2 linked regions of the Lytechinus pictus genome follow. The protein of the gene in region 2 interacts with the protein of the main gene of each other region in a biochemical or structural test. Links are inferred from orthologs where the notes say so. Each region holds a gene or a part of one and is shown on either strand. Other genes may lie near its edges.

The links. The genes of interacting proteins can lie anywhere in the genome.
Region 1: the proteins of wee1-like protein kinase 1-A (region 2) and peptidyl-prolyl cis-trans isomerase NIMA-interacting 1-like form a complex in vitro, tested with the Homo sapiens proteins (2 studies listed by BioGRID, with this or other methods). The link is inferred for Lytechinus pictus from reciprocal best matches to the Homo sapiens genes WEE1 and PIN1.

Annotation. Positions count from the first base shown.
Region 1 is NC_087259.1:1,859,198-1,866,905, forward strand, and holds the start of peptidyl-prolyl cis-trans isomerase NIMA-interacting 1-like, read right to left. Parts: upstream 3,351-7,708; coding exon 3,242-3,350; intron 948-3,241; coding exon 765-947; intron 129-764; coding exon 1-128. UniProt on the Homo sapiens protein: Peptidyl-prolyl cis/trans isomerase (PPIase) that binds to and isomerizes specific phosphorylated Ser/Thr-Pro (pSer/Thr-Pro) motifs.
Region 2 is NC_087263.1:89,944-97,963, reverse strand, and holds the start of wee1-like protein kinase 1-A, read right to left. Parts: upstream 3,419-8,020; 5' UTR 3,150-3,418; coding exon 2,395-3,149; intron 1-2,394. UniProt on the Homo sapiens protein: Acts as a negative regulator of entry into mitosis (G2 to M transition) by protecting the nucleus from cytoplasmically activated cyclin B1-complexed CDK1 before the onset of mitosis by mediating phosphorylation of CDK1 on 'Tyr-15'.

The sequences.
Region 1 (7,708 bases), on a different chromosome or scaffold from region 2:
AGGCTTCTGCATCTGGTTTCGGCCAAAGATTCCTAGATCACCCTTGTTTTTAGCAGAGTTACAATCACTTTCTGTGCTCGCCAGATCCCCAAAATCAACTTGTCCCGAAACTATCCTGGCTCTGTATCCTGAAAAAATGAATTATCAATGCAGTAGAGTACATTTAAATTTTATGCATTAATGTACCTAAAAAATAGAATGTATCATGATAATCAAATTCAGAGCCTGAGCCAACAACTTGTATTTTGGAAGACCAAAGTCAATGGACTTCGGTCTTCCAAAATACAAGTTGGTGATCAAAGTTTTCCCATTCTGATGAAACTAGTTTACAAGTTCTACACAATCATTAGGCATTCTATTCATTTCATGTTTCTCATGATAATGAATTCAAATTCAAACCTTTTTTTATCAGTGTTATCAATCTAATGGGAAATAAATTTCTTATTTCTCTATGAAATATCTTTTCTGATTTCTATTCTGTCTCTTACAAAGATTGGCACCTTCAATCTATGTTTGACACAAGCAATCTTTGTAAGGCCAATGGTATGACTTGTACACACAAGATTGCAATATACCCTTTGTGGTGATGAATATGGTGGCCTCCGTTTACGGAAAATGTCATAATTAGTGACTTTGGACAAGAAAATATAACATGCTAATCCTACGTTCATAGATTTAATTTCATTAAGGTTCCAAATCATAAAACGTTGTAAAGGAATTTCATGGAGGAGAGACTGCCAAAAGATAAACGAATGGATACATGCCTTTTATTATTTGAAGAGCTTCATCCTTTGAGCGAGTGATCCTGTCATCCCTCCAGGATGCAGGTCTTCTAGAATCTCTATGTTTGACTAGGAGATGGGAGCAGCGAACTTTATTGGCTGGAGGACCAGCTGGTTTCTCCCATTGACTTTCCTTGGTAGCAGCTTTAAAATAGTATGGTTTACCTGTATGTTTGAGGTTAGAAAAAAAAAAGAATGCAAATTTCATGTCTATTGTGTCCTCATTGTAAAATTTGTCACCTCTTGCGTTATAAGTGATCTGATATGCATAAAGTATGCACATAGCATATCATTAACTTTTTCATTGCTCTACATTATGACTAGTATCAGACATCTGAGCTGTTTTATATATTAATTTTACAAAACCATATTGCCCTAGAGGGAAAGTGCCAATTCGTCTACTGCCAACACCATCTACCTTCATTTAGTCCATCAAAATTTCGTCTAACAACCATTTGGTCCAATCATAACTTTGTCTAATCACCAGTTTATACACTTTGACTGTCTTTGGATTACACTAAAAAGAGTTTCGCTAAGGCAAGCACATAATACGCCCGTCTGTAATGCAGAAAATGAAGTTATTGGTCAAGCAAGAAAAGTAGGTGGCGACCTTTGACCTTCTGACCTCAAAATCAATAGAATTGCTAGGATCTATGCTAGTATCATACACACCAAATTATATGAGCCTAGGTTAAGTTCAACTAAAGTTATCGCGTAAACAAGGACTTCAGAAGGATAAGATGAAAACATGTCACAGTGACCTTGACCTTTGGACCTCAAAATCAAATGGCTTTCTGGCTTCAAATTAAAAAGGCTTCCTAGTATCATACACACCAAATTATAGGAGCCTGGGACTAACCCAGGCTCCTATAATTTGGTGTGTATGATATAAACTGGAGTGTATAAACTGGAGTTATTGCGTTTACAAGGACTTCAGAGAATTGAGAATATGATTTGACATTTCTTGTCCTGTGGGCTACATTAAAATTGAGAATATTATCATATTTTGGAATTTATGCAGCCCTATGTCAGACGGACGAAGTTACCCATTCCTTTTCCGTATTTTGCCTATTTACGGGAAAATCTGCCATTTTGATTTTATGATTTCATGTATAAATTACTAAAAGATGAATATTTAATAACTTGATTTTCTTGATACAAGTAGATAGTGTTAAAGACTGATCTTGATATGACACTTTTGTACACCAAGAGCAAAGTCATTAATTAGAATAGCATATGAGATTTATTGATATGTATTTTATGTTTTTTTTATAAATATTTACTTATCTAAGAATCTACTGAAACAAACAAGCGACTTCAAGTGAGTATTACTGGATAGTCTTAACCAAAGACTTTTGTATTCATAATTTGTTTGCATAGTTCAATTTGCCTATAAATGTTTAATCATGAAATACCCGGTATATTACTTGAAAGTGAATAGTTTTATACTGAATAATTAAGCATTTACAGGAATTATTATTGAACTTAGACTCAATAGATATTATGCCAGGGGTAGGGTGGGCAACGGCACCAGATTTGTGCTGTAGACATGTGTAAAAAGAATTTTAAGTCAATAGGTGAATTTGCCTCAAATTTTCATTCTATATTTTGAGTGAACAATGTAGTAACAAATGTAGCAACATCTTCACATTTTCTAGCAGCCAAGTTGATTATCTATCAATGTGACATGTTTCCATGGCTCCTCACAGAGGCTCAAACAGTCTAGGTCAGCATGAAAACTTAAAAATGCCTATTTTCAGCCACTAGCCCTGTGTGCACATATATGCGCGCGCGCAAATTTGAAATGCTTAAAAATTTGCGCGCGCACATATATGTGCACATGTAGGGACAGTGATTTTCCGCGATCGCGGAAAACGGACGGAATTCACGGAAAGGGCCTTTTGAAACGGAAAGTGGCATTTCAAACGGAAAACGTATTTTCCCTCAAAATACACAGAATAGTACCCAAAAATTAATGAAACGTACCCAAAATTAATTATAGGCCATTTTGAGCATTTTTCAATTTTGACGCGCGCGTCATGACCTTTGATGGCATTGACTGATGACCTTCGACCTAAAGTTTATTTGATGACGTAAATATGATTGACTATTGATTGTCCGTTATGTACATATTATCAAATTAAGAATTTACAAAATGGCACGTAGATGACGTCATCATGACCAGATGACCTTGAAAAGCTTAGTAGAGCGTCTCTATGATAGACATTATATATGACGAAAAATTCAGCAAAATTGATATAGCCGATTCGGAAAAAAGTTGGCGACAAACATAGGTGCGAAAAATAAATAAAGAAAATTGACGAAATTAAGAGGTGATCCGTCAGAGACAGCATGGACAGACCACCTAATTACAGCAACAACGGAAGGAAGATCAACGTTTGGTTCGGGGGGAAAGACTGGCAAGTTAAACTCTCTGGCATTATCGTGGTTTATGTCACCAGTCCATTCACTGCCGTTTATTTCGTCAGCGGTGGTGACATCTTTCCATTCCCATTTTGGCATTGACTTTGTACACAACGAGGGAGTAACTTTAGAATCCAATGTCATGTTATAATCGATTATGAGACCAATTTACCTCCTAATCGCTGCTTTGCTGCTGCCGGTGTGCGATAGCCAGTAAGCCAGAGGCTTGGTGATAGTAGTTTTGTCGCCCTCTACGTTCGTGAGCTAATGAAGAGGCCCCGGCGTCAAGCAGGAGATAGATCGGAAAATGGATAAAGGATGAGAGGGGGAGGGGGATGGTCCCGTAGGGGGGTACACGACTTGTCCAATATGGTTGATGTAGAAGGAGGGGTGAAGTAATGTCAGGTGATATGATAATCAGAGGAGTTTTTAAGGGAAGATATATGAAGGAATGAAAGAGGGGGCGCGTGATCGAGGATATGTGCATTGGTATATATTTATGTTGATTATGTTTAAATGTTATTTAAGGAATGATAGTCGTTGATATGTATACATGGATACATGTATACAAAGATACTTGGATACTATTATATTACATACATGTTTGGATATGGATACTTAGAAACATGGATACGGGGATACTCGGATACTATTGGATACTTGGATACTATTGGATACTTGGATACATGGATACGCGGATACGTGGATACTTGGATACTATTGCATACTTGGATACTTGGATACATGGATACGCGAATTACGTGGATACGTGGATACTTGGATACTATTGGATACTTGGATGCTTGGATACATGGATACTTGGATACATGGATACTATTGGATACTTGGATACTTGGATACTATTGGATACTTGGATACATGGATACGCGGATACTTGGATACTATTGCATACTTGGATACTTGGATACATGGATACGCGGATACGTGGATACTTGGATACTATTGCATACTTGGATACATAGATACGCGGATACGTGGATTCTTGGATACTATTGGATACTTGGATACTTGGATACATGGATACTTGGATACATGGATACTATTGGATACTTGGATACTTGGATTCGCGGATACGTGGATACTTTTGGATAGTTGGATACGTGGATACAATTAGAAACTTTGATACGCGGATACGGGCTTATGCCTACAGGAAAACTTGAATACATAGATACTTAGCAGAGCAAATCAAAGACACCGAGAGACAGGGCTATACTCCGAGAGACCCCGCAGTGGCCGACCAGTTTCGACAACCCCTAGAGATGATCGCTACTTGACGAATCTCAGCCTCCGCAACCGCTTTCACAGTACACGCCGCCTCAACAATGACTTCGCTGCAGCAACTGGAGTGATTGTTTCCACTCAAACAATCCGTAACCGACTTCACAGAGCCAATATGCATGCCAGACGGCCAGCTCAGTGTGTCCCACTCACCCCTGCTCACAGAAGAATTCGTCTCAACTGGGCCCGGGAGCATGTCAGATGGACCAGACAGCAATGGCGTAGAGTTCTGTTCACAGATGAGAGCAGATTTTCCCTTGACCACAATGATGGACGTTCGAGAGTCTGGAGGCGACCAGGAGAGAGATTTGCAGACCCCTGTATTGCAGAACATGACCGTTATGGGGGAGGCAGCGTCATGGTGTGGGGAGGCATCACCTACGCCAACCGTACTCGTCTCTACGTGGTCCCAGGGGGAGCAATGACAGGAGTGAGGTACAGGGATGAGGTCCTTGAACCTATAGTGGTGCCATTTGCAGAAAATGTGGGACAAAACATCATTTTCATGGATGACAATGCCCGTGCCCACCGAGCTAGGGTGGTGACCGAGTTCCTTGAGGGCCAGGGGATTGAGCGTATGGAGTGGCCAGCGAGGTCCCCGGACTTAAACCCGATAGAGCACGTCTGGGACATGATGGGGAGGAGTCTCGAGCAGCTCGAAGCCCATCCACTTGGACTGCAGCAGCTGGGTGTGGCTCTGGAGGCTGCATGGGATGCACTGGACGTCAGAGACATCAATCGCCTCATCAGCTCCATGAGACAGCGCTGTGAAGCCGTTATTGCTGCAGGAGGTGGTCACACTCGTTACTGAACTGCCTGAAAGACACTCAGACATTCGTTTTTACCACTTCATGTCGGTAGCTGATACCCCTCGGGGCCCACTTTTCAGGATGTGCAGTGATGCGAGAGACATTGTGCAACAACTGAAACCACCCATGCGTGAAATTGATTACAGCGTGTTTAAGGGCATTTAGGACAGTTGTACTGAGGTATTTCCAGAAATAAAACACCTTGTATAAAATCTTTATGTACGTTTTAAAAAGTGGTCCTTAACTTTTTTTGAGTAGTGTATAATAATAGGTCCTTCTCATGATGATTGTATAATTACAATTTTCAGATTATTTATCTAGTTCTATGGCTAATAGTGCTAGGCACTACAACAAGTGCAATAATTAAAAGGTAAAAAAACATAAACAGTAAAGCAAATAATAACTTCGCTCACAAGAAACAATAGAAAATAAAATACAACACGCGATTTACTGTGTGTACATAGCAGAAATCTATGACATTCTACCGCTATTTTATGTTGTGAAGAGATCATAAGTTTTAATCAAAATTATACACAAGCAGTTTCTACTCACATGTTCGAAATTGAGTTGATCATCAATCCATCATGTAGAGACGTACCAACATTCCATCCACCTTAACTTGTCCATGATTATTCAAACGCAACCAAGAATATACAGAAATATATTTTTAAATCTAAATTCTAAAGCAGGAAAACTAACCGCATGTTTCAAAGTGACATCGAATAAGTTCCCCCGGAAGTTCCCACACTGTAAATCAATGTGGTTGAGGAATCATTGCACATCTGATCATCACAAAGATGAAAGTATGGAACGATCGCAGAAAGCGTTGCGATCAAACGAAACTCCCACAAATCACGTCTTTTTTCGTATATTTTTGAAGGGTGAAAAGAAAGATGTATGATTGAACATAACTCTTCCGCACTGGTGCTCCGAAGATGATTATTACAGGCTCTCCATAGCTGTATCTTTATTTCACAACAAAACCAGAAATATTTCTCTATGATCTATCTGATTATGATGTTAATCAATGATTATTGACTGGACACCTACACAATGTTCCGGGCAATGTTCACTCGATGAAGCCAAACGTCGAAATGGTGAACCACTGCAATGCGCATCACGAGCTCTGTAATCTGGTGTTAGTACAGCGACGTAAGATGATGATTGGCTGAACATGTGATTCGTCATATCCTCTCTATCCAATCAGAGATGGTTCTAAATGGTTGCGACATTACATTACAGGGAATACAATCAGGGTACTAATGGATAATTCGTTTTTCATTCCCGATCATCGCAGAGCGAAAACGGAAATCAACCTCATGGTTCGGTCTTTGAAAACACAAAAAACGAAATCACGACGAGAAAAACCTGTTGTGATTTCGTTTTTGGAGATCAAAACAGAAGAATGAAATCAGAAATACTTTTGGGCTCTTTCTGATTTCTCATTCTATACTTGTGTTTGTTATATATAAAAAACAAAATCAGAACACGCTTTCCGCTCCGTGATTCTGTTTGGAAAAACGCAGACAGCGAAAAAGAAATCGGAAACTCGCTTTCCACTTCCTGCTCTGTGATTTTGTTTTTTGCACAGCTAGCAGCCGTATCGAAATACGGTTTCCGCTCGTCTCTGAGCCGAGTTGTCCTTTCTTTCATGTATATTAAAGAGCGCTCTCTACGTTTCCGATCGTTATACACACGTGCACGCAGTACAGCGCATGCATGTTACGACCACGTGCAACAAAAATTCACGTTAACATGGCTTTTTTCCAGCGTTTTCGGACCTTCACAGAGCAGGAAGTGGAAAGTGAGTTTCCGATTTCGTTTTCGCTGTCTGCGTTTTTCCAAACAGAATCACGGAGCGGAAAGCGTGTGCTGATTTTGTTTTTGATATGTAACAAACACAAGTATAGAATGAGAAATCAGAAAGAGCCCAAAAGTATTTCTGATTTCATTCTTCTGTTTTTGATCTCCAAAAACGAAATCACAACAGGTTTTTCTCGTTGTGATTTCGTTTTTGTGTTTTCAAAGACCGAACCATGAGGTTGATTTCCGTTTTTGCTCTGCAATAATCGGGAATGAAAAACGAATTATCCATTAGTACCCTGATTGTAAACACTACTATTACAAGAGACTAGCTCAAGGATTGAATGTATCACCAGGAATATTTCAAGCTAAGATAGATGATATTTTGAGTACAATACCAAATTCTAGGAATTTTTGCATAGCCATCATGATGATATCATTTTGTTTAGCCCTGACAAGAATACCCATAAGCGACAATTAGAACTTGTACTTCAAGCACTTACTAAGAACAGACTGAAGGTCAGTCCCAAGAAATGTAAGATTTTCAGAGATGATGTCACATAAGGCGGTGCTGCACATCCCGAGTTTGCT
Region 2 (8,020 bases):
GACCAGATTTGTAGTCAAACTACAGTCATAAAACTTACTTTATGACTTGACTGAAAGAGAATAGTTTGCTCACTGAAAACTTCCATTCTCATAAGGTCAATACTCTGGTTGATTCTCAACATAAGTAGGTCTCTTTGGTGTATTGTGACAAAGGGCCTCAAATACACAAGCCTAAGCCTTCAAGAGGCAAAGGCATCATAATTCATCATGTCAACATAATTCTGTGAATGTGTATTTTGTTTGAAGACTATAAACCAGCCGATTAGAAACCCCCCTATCTATAACTGACTGTAAATCTTTGCGTTGAGATTTAAAAAAAAGTGTAAAACAGAACAGGCTAATTATAGTACATGTAAATGTAAAAAAAAAGTTCTTAAACTCAGTAGCTTTTAAAATTCAACCGTCAGCTTCAGGTTTTGCAAACAAATCACCTGAATGCTCCTGTCTGAACCAGTCTGCTACATGTCCAACATTGTATGACCTTTACAAGGACAATCATTCAGGGACCTCGATCTTATCTGATCTAGATTTAAACTGTGCAAGTATGTTTCTGAATCATCGTCACCCTTTTTTTAAGGTTAAGGACTTTGAGATGTGGCAGGCCTGGATTTAGATTTCCCTGCATTTGAAATTTGGATTGCAATTATTGCTATATGATGAACTGTGTAAACAATGAATGCACTGAATGGCCAACTGTTGCTCATTCAAGGTCAAAGTCTAATTGTAACTCTTAAATTAAAGATCAGATCAAATGCTTCTATCACTCATCCCCTACTCTATACAAGGCACTCATTCAATGAACAACAAGGTTATGATATAACCTTGTTCTCAGTTACATCTCTATGTGTGGCAAAATAAGGTTGACAATGTTTGGATTATTTTCTCTTTTTCTTTTTGACAAATGCTTTATTTTTTTTACACTGTCAGTTTCCATTACAGCTTTTCATTATATAACTTGGCTCTTAAGTAAATTTGATTATTTAAATTATTTTTTCTTTATTAAGGATAGAGCTTGAAATATGAAAATTTTCTTGCCAAATTACTTTCCACCAGTAGAGGGCGTACACAAAAATATGCCCAAAATTCAAGCTTTTGAGTGCTTTTGGTCAATACAAAAATTATTCTAAATTACTTATGAAAATTGAGTTGCGACTGTATGGAAATCAATAACTTTGGTCCCAAAAGTGATATTTTACTGATTTTTAAAGTGTGAGCTCAATACAGCAGTGGCATGCCATAGCCCTACCTGTAGATTCTCCACAGGCAGGATGGTAGCAGTGAACAAGTGATACAAGGCGAGGTTATGCAGCTTGACCGAATAATCAGTCTATTTTGGTCAGGGAATCCTCCTCGGACACTTTGTGTGGCTGCCTTTGGGGCATCCCCCTCCCTCCATAAAATTTTGAAAAATAGATTTTTCAGCCTACATGTATAGTGAGTGATCGTATTACCGACCGGCCTTGTATTACCGAACGCGCGCATCGTATGCGTCAGAAAATAATTTCATACGCTCAATTCTTTGCAACATCCTTCCAAAGGGAACTTGAATAGAAAGATGATGAAAAATGGTCAAAAACACATTTTCAAAGTCTTAATATTCTAAAAATAATAAAATATCATGGTCAAAATAGCTCATCAGTGATTTTGTTGTTTTCTCAACTTTTCCCATAGAAAACACACGTTCGGTAATACGATACCTTTTTCAAGTGACCAAAATATTTCGCATGCGGAGAGGGGTCCGATTGGAAGCTAATATCGTCAAAAGGAAAAACGATTTCGTCAATTTTTTTTACATATTTAAATTTTGTAGGTAATTGTGTATTTATGGTTAAAGTTTGGTGAATTTTATGAGAATAATGTTTTTGATATGATTGAATTCATGAAGTGTTCAGTAATACCATCCACTACCATACATGTATGTCTACTAGTCACAGATTGGTAGGCTGTGAAGAGAAAAAGTACACAGGGGCTAAGTCAGGGGTTTTGAGTAGGCCCTAATTGAGTTGACCCCCGAATGCTCAAAAGAGCCCTGAAAAATCCTCATTCGTAACAAATGTTAAATAATAATAGCTTGCCAATGACATGTTGGAGATTCAGGTAATGTTGTTGTTGGTAGATTCATTCAGTTACTATCAGGACTGTAGTAATATAGGCTTATACTATATCTCCCGAAAATTAAAAATTCCCTAGGACTGCGACTCAGAATAAATGGCAAAAAATGGTCAATAAATATGACGTGATGAATCAACAACCAGTCCATGATTCATTTTAATAATGGGGAACCAAATAAAACATGAATCAGGACTAAACTAAACTAAAGAGACAAGATGAAAATAAAAGAAAAAAATACTTCAGGTTAAACCAAGTAAGACATTTAGAATCCCTAAAATTTACCTTTCCTGTCGAAGCCTTTTCTTGGTTGCGTTTTGCAACATAGCTGATGGCGTGAAAGGGTTGACATTTGCTACATTCTGCTGTCTCGTCTTAGAAATTCTTGTGCTCCTTCTCTGCATACTTCTCATGTTTGGAGCCGTGTGCGGCCTTGCAAGAGTACCATCATCACCATGTTCACGTACAGCAGCGGGTTTCTCACTGAAGAGTCTACTGGCAAGAAGTTTATTTCGTCTGGCACTCGCATTTGCCTTTTGAATTAATGATTTGGGCGTGTGTGGTGAATCGAAAAGTCTCAAGTTACGAAGCCGCTTGTGTGGGGGTGGAGAACCGACAGAGTCGCTTCCCCCTGCGGAGGAGGCGGGGCTACTTCCGCATATTAACATTGGAGAGGGACTGCAACTTGAGTCGCTTGGCCTTCGAAAAAGGGGAGATGCAACTGAATTTTCGCCACCATGAAGTCTTGAAACTGGTCTTCGTTGCACGGGCCGTTTTGATGGGCTACTTTTTGGAGTTGCCAAGGCGGGATCCCATTCTGCCGTGAGATTTAATGAGTCATCACGATCATCAGAAAATGAACTTGAAATGGGACTGTGGTCGATCCTCTCTTCTTGCAAATCGTTGAAATCAGAATAAGCTGCAAAACTAGCGTCACTTTCGCCTTCGGAACCGAGAGCATCGCCAAAATCTAGGCGTTGTGTAGGCGATCCGTGAACACCTTGATGAAATAAGGAATTCATTGGTGTAGCTAACGACATCTTCCGTCGAGAAAAACCGTTAGATTTTGATGAATTAGTTGTCAATTCCCGTCTCAATCGATGCAATGGTGATGGCGTGTGGCAAACAAATCATAAATAACAACAACATGCGCGCGTCGTATACAGTATAGTATACTTCGCTTGCGCTTGCTTGCATATACCGTACTACTCGTACCGGTACTCGCGATATCGACACACACAACACAACGAGATATCAGCACATGCGGAAAAAAGCACGTCAAAATGGCGCGCCTGTTTTGGAAGGAATCACGTGATAAAACACCAGCCAATCACGAAATAGCTTATATCAATTGTGATCTTGTTTATGGCCGGTATTGGCTACGTATTCCAGTCATTCTTGAGTCCCGTCGCGTCTTAAAAAAGATGGTAAATAGTATGAGTCATACAGGCCACGCCACGTATAGACCGAATGACGAAGAATATATATATATATAAGAAAAACCCTGATAATACGAGAAATATAAAAGGGATTATGAAGGTTACTTGTAATTACAGGTTTATGTTTGAGGGTGGGCTCGAATTAAAGGACAAATAAGAGTAAAAGGAAACCCCTCGTATAGGCCGACATGTAATTTTTTTAATAATTATTCTTTTATAACTTTTTATTGATAGTATTTTAATATACGGTATATGACATTATGACAAGTGGTAGGGATAACTTTCACATGGACCGTATAATGTATACCCAGTTGTTGTGGGTCCGGACAGGTTGTGTGTCCGGACGATCAATTTTAGAAAGTCATTTGGAAAAAATTACAAGCGAATTTTATCAATTTTTAGTACAAAATGTTAAGAAATATTATAAAGAACAAACAAGAAAATGATTACAATTGTTGAATTTATATTTTGTGTGTAATCCAAAGACAAAAAAGAAGGCCTCAATAATATAAAGTGTCCGGACACCCGACCCCCCCATCCTACATTATTTTCATGGATTCGTGTCATTCTCCAAGAAGGACACTGTGCCTATTCCAATGGAACACGGTTTTAGTAGGTAGCACATGTTTTTTTTTGTGTATTTATGTGTGTACTCACGAATATAGGCCTAATTTGAAGAAATTGACATAACAGCCATTTTATGTTTTGGAATGGAAAAGAAGTCCTTGCCTCTCATCATCACAAATGTGACCCAAATTTAACTTGAAGTTTCATAATAATTACAGATATTTTAAAATCGATAGAAATTCATATATTTCTTACTGTTTGTCCAGTACAAACTTTCACCTATCTACGGGGGACTCCCCCGGGTCGGCTGTGCCCCCCTGGGTACGCCAGTGATAATAATTATAAGAAAACCTGGTATATGTGAAGAAACATTTTCGGCTTAAAATTAATTATCTTTGTGAATTACCTTGAGGCCTAATTCGGCCATTGTCCATTCCCATTACATGATTAGTTCCCTGTCCTATCTAATAATTAAACTTAATCAAAATGATTTCTTCCTAACATGATTAAGTAATTGTGCTGATGTTTTGGTGTTTTTTTTTGCCAATACTTATATGCCTAAATGCAGTGGCGTACCTAGGATTTTCCACAGGGGGGCGGGGGCAATAAAGGTCTTCAAGCTCGTCAGGGGGGCAAAACAGGTCTTTCAAGCTCGTCAGGGGGGGCAGGATACGTCCTTTGCATGGGTTGTGGCTCGTCGGGACTCCCCCCCCCGTATGTACGCTAGTGCCTAGATGAAAAAAAAAATGAAATATCAATTGGCGGCTTTTATTATGTTTCTATTTCATTTCCCTGCTTTTGAATGATTTCCTCCTTCGATGAAGCAGTTAACCAAACTTAACAATATTGTTTGCCTGCTATGTATACATTCTAGCATGATACTTCACCGTGTTTTCTACATGGACACGCAGGCGCTTTTCAATGTCCCTTTCATTCACTAATAATCACATTTTTATGAATAATTGTTTCCTCCCTCTCTTTCTTCTTCCCTTCCCCTTTTCTTTCTTTCCCCTCTGTTTTCCTCCCAATAATCCACGGTGTTTTCACTTTGTTATACTGATGTATTCGAGACTGTAATAAAACTTATTTTCATATTGAATGCAATTTTTTACTTGTTCATTAATTTGGGTTTTCCTCCCTCAAACTTTTTTTCCTGTTCTCTGTCTTTTATTTCCCTAACCTTTTCCTGATCTTCTTAGTATATTCGATCTTTTATTTTGTTGCCTCACAACAAAAGCAGCAACCTTCGTCGTTAAAGGGGAAGTTTACCCTGACAAAAAGTTTATTGTAAAAATAGCAGAAAAAATAATGAAAAATATTGCCGAAGGTTTGAGAAAAATTCATCAAATAATTAAAAAGTTATTAGAATGTCAATTATTTGATTTGTGACATCATATGCGAGCATAGCGAATGGTAAAAAATCAATGAAATGTCATTTTCTCAGAAAATTGAAAATGGTTTTCACTGTACCTTTTGTATATCAATAGACAAATCATTTTACACCCGATCATGAATAGAAAACAAAATTAAGACATCAGGAACCATACAAAATTTGAAATTCATGCATTTTATATTACATAACACATGGGGCAGCTGCTCGTTTATGACGTCACAAATCCAAAACTTTGAATTCTAATAACTTTCTTACTCTTTAACGGATTTTCCTCAAACCTTCACCAATATTTTTAAATATTTTTTCTGCTATTTTTGCAACAAAGTTTTCTTCAGGGGAGCGTTTCATCAATACTTTCATCCGACAAGTTGTCAGATCTGACATCTTTCCATGATTTTGATTGGCTGATAGGCACTGTTCCTATGGTAATTGTCGGATAAAATGGGACTTGAAGGATAAAACGTCCGACAAGTCCTTTCATGAAACTCCCCCCTTGATGAACTTCCTCTTTAATGCGCTCAGGAAATCAACGAGAGATGGCGCTCTTTTACTAATATTGATTACTCTGACTAATATCAAAAGAGGTAACTAGGTGTGCACTCGTGTGTTTAAAAAAAGTTTAGGCAAAATAACACTTCTCTAATTAACTTTTAAAGTAATGTTTTATTCATCTTTTGTTGTTGTACATTCATGTGCAAAAGAGATTATTGCTTTTCTGTTCAGGGGAAAACGGTAATCTTTTACAAAGTCTGTTTTATTTGTCGATTAATATATTTTGTTTTCTCTGCTTTCACATTGTTATGTATAAATTGGGCAGTTAATTTCATTTGTCATAAATTCTGAAATTTTGTTATCTCATTCCTCCAGGAATTTAGACTGTTGTGCTCAATATTTTGGCAAAATGTAACCTTTTGCACTTTGGACCATACTTTATGGAATAATCCACATCAGTCTACTAATACTGCTGACTACGCTGGACCCTTTGGAGCAAGGTATGACTATTTCATTATACTGATTTTATTGTTTCAAATTAACGTCTCCTGATCGAGAAACTCACAATGAAAAGCAAATCAACTGCGAAGGGGTACAACGAGGTTGCTGCTACAAAAGGCCCGAGCGGCCCGGGGCGAAACCATGATGCCAAGCCTGTCGGAGCTATGCAAGCCTCGCCAACGCGCAAGCATCATGAGCAAAGATCTAGTAGTCCAGTAGATATGTGAAAAAGATGCTCGAATCTGGCAGAAAGTGTGAAATTTGGCATACAGGGGTATTTTTGGGCGCTGATTTCAAAAATTGCCGGCCCCAAGCGATTTGACCATCGGGTCGGCCGCCATTTTGAAATCCAAGATGGCCGCCATGATAAATCATTAAATGTCAATTTCTTGAGTTTTACATGACATGTGACACTGAAATTTGGCATATAGGGGTATTTTGAGGCACTGATTTCAAATATTGCCGCCCATCAGCAATTTGACCATTTGGTCGGCGGCAAAATGGCCGCCATCTTGAAATCCAAGATGGCCGCCATGATATATTATTGCAATCATTTTATCGAGTTTTATATGAACTGCGGTATTGAAATTTGGCATATAGGCTTAATTTGGGGTGCTGATTTCAAATATTGCCGGCCCCAAGTATTTTGACCATCGGTTCGGCCGCCATTTTGAAATCCAAGATGGCCGCCCTGAGAAATTATTAATGTCACTTTCTTGAGTTTTACATGACGTGTGACACTGAAATTCGGTATGTTGGGGTATTTTTAGGCACTGATTTCAAATATTGCCGCCCCCAGCAATTTGACCATTTGGTCGGTGGCTAAATGGCCGCCATTTTGAAATCCAAGATGGCCGCCATGAAAAATCACTAAATGTCATTTTCTTGAGTTTTACATGATATGTGACACTGAAATTTGGCATATGGGCTTAATTCGGGGTGCTGATTTCAAATATTGCCGGCCCCAAGTGATTTGACCATCGGGTCGGCCGCCATTTTGAAATCCAAGATGGCCGCCATGAGAAATTCATTAATGTCATTTTCTTGAGTTTTACATGACGTGTGACACTGAAATTTGGCATACAGGGGTATTTTTAGGCACTGCTTTCAAATATTGCCGGCCCCCAGCAATTTGACCATTTGGTTGGCGTCTAAATGGCCGCCATTTTGAAATCCAAGATGGCCACCATGAAAATCATTAAATGTCATTTTCTTGAGTTTTACATGATATGTGACACAAAAATTTGGCCTATAGGGGTATTTTGAGGCACTGATTTCAAATATTGCCGGCCCCCAGCAATTTGACCTTAAGGTCAGCGGCAAAACGGCTGCCATCTTAAATTCCAAGATGGCCACCATGAAATATCGTTGCAATAATTTTCTCTAGTTTTGTATGAGCTATGGTATTTAAATTTAGCATATACAGTGTAGGTGTAGTTTAGGGCACTTATTTCAAATAGTCTTACCACCAGGTCAGCCGCCATCTTGAAATCTAAGATGGCCGCCATGAAAATCACTA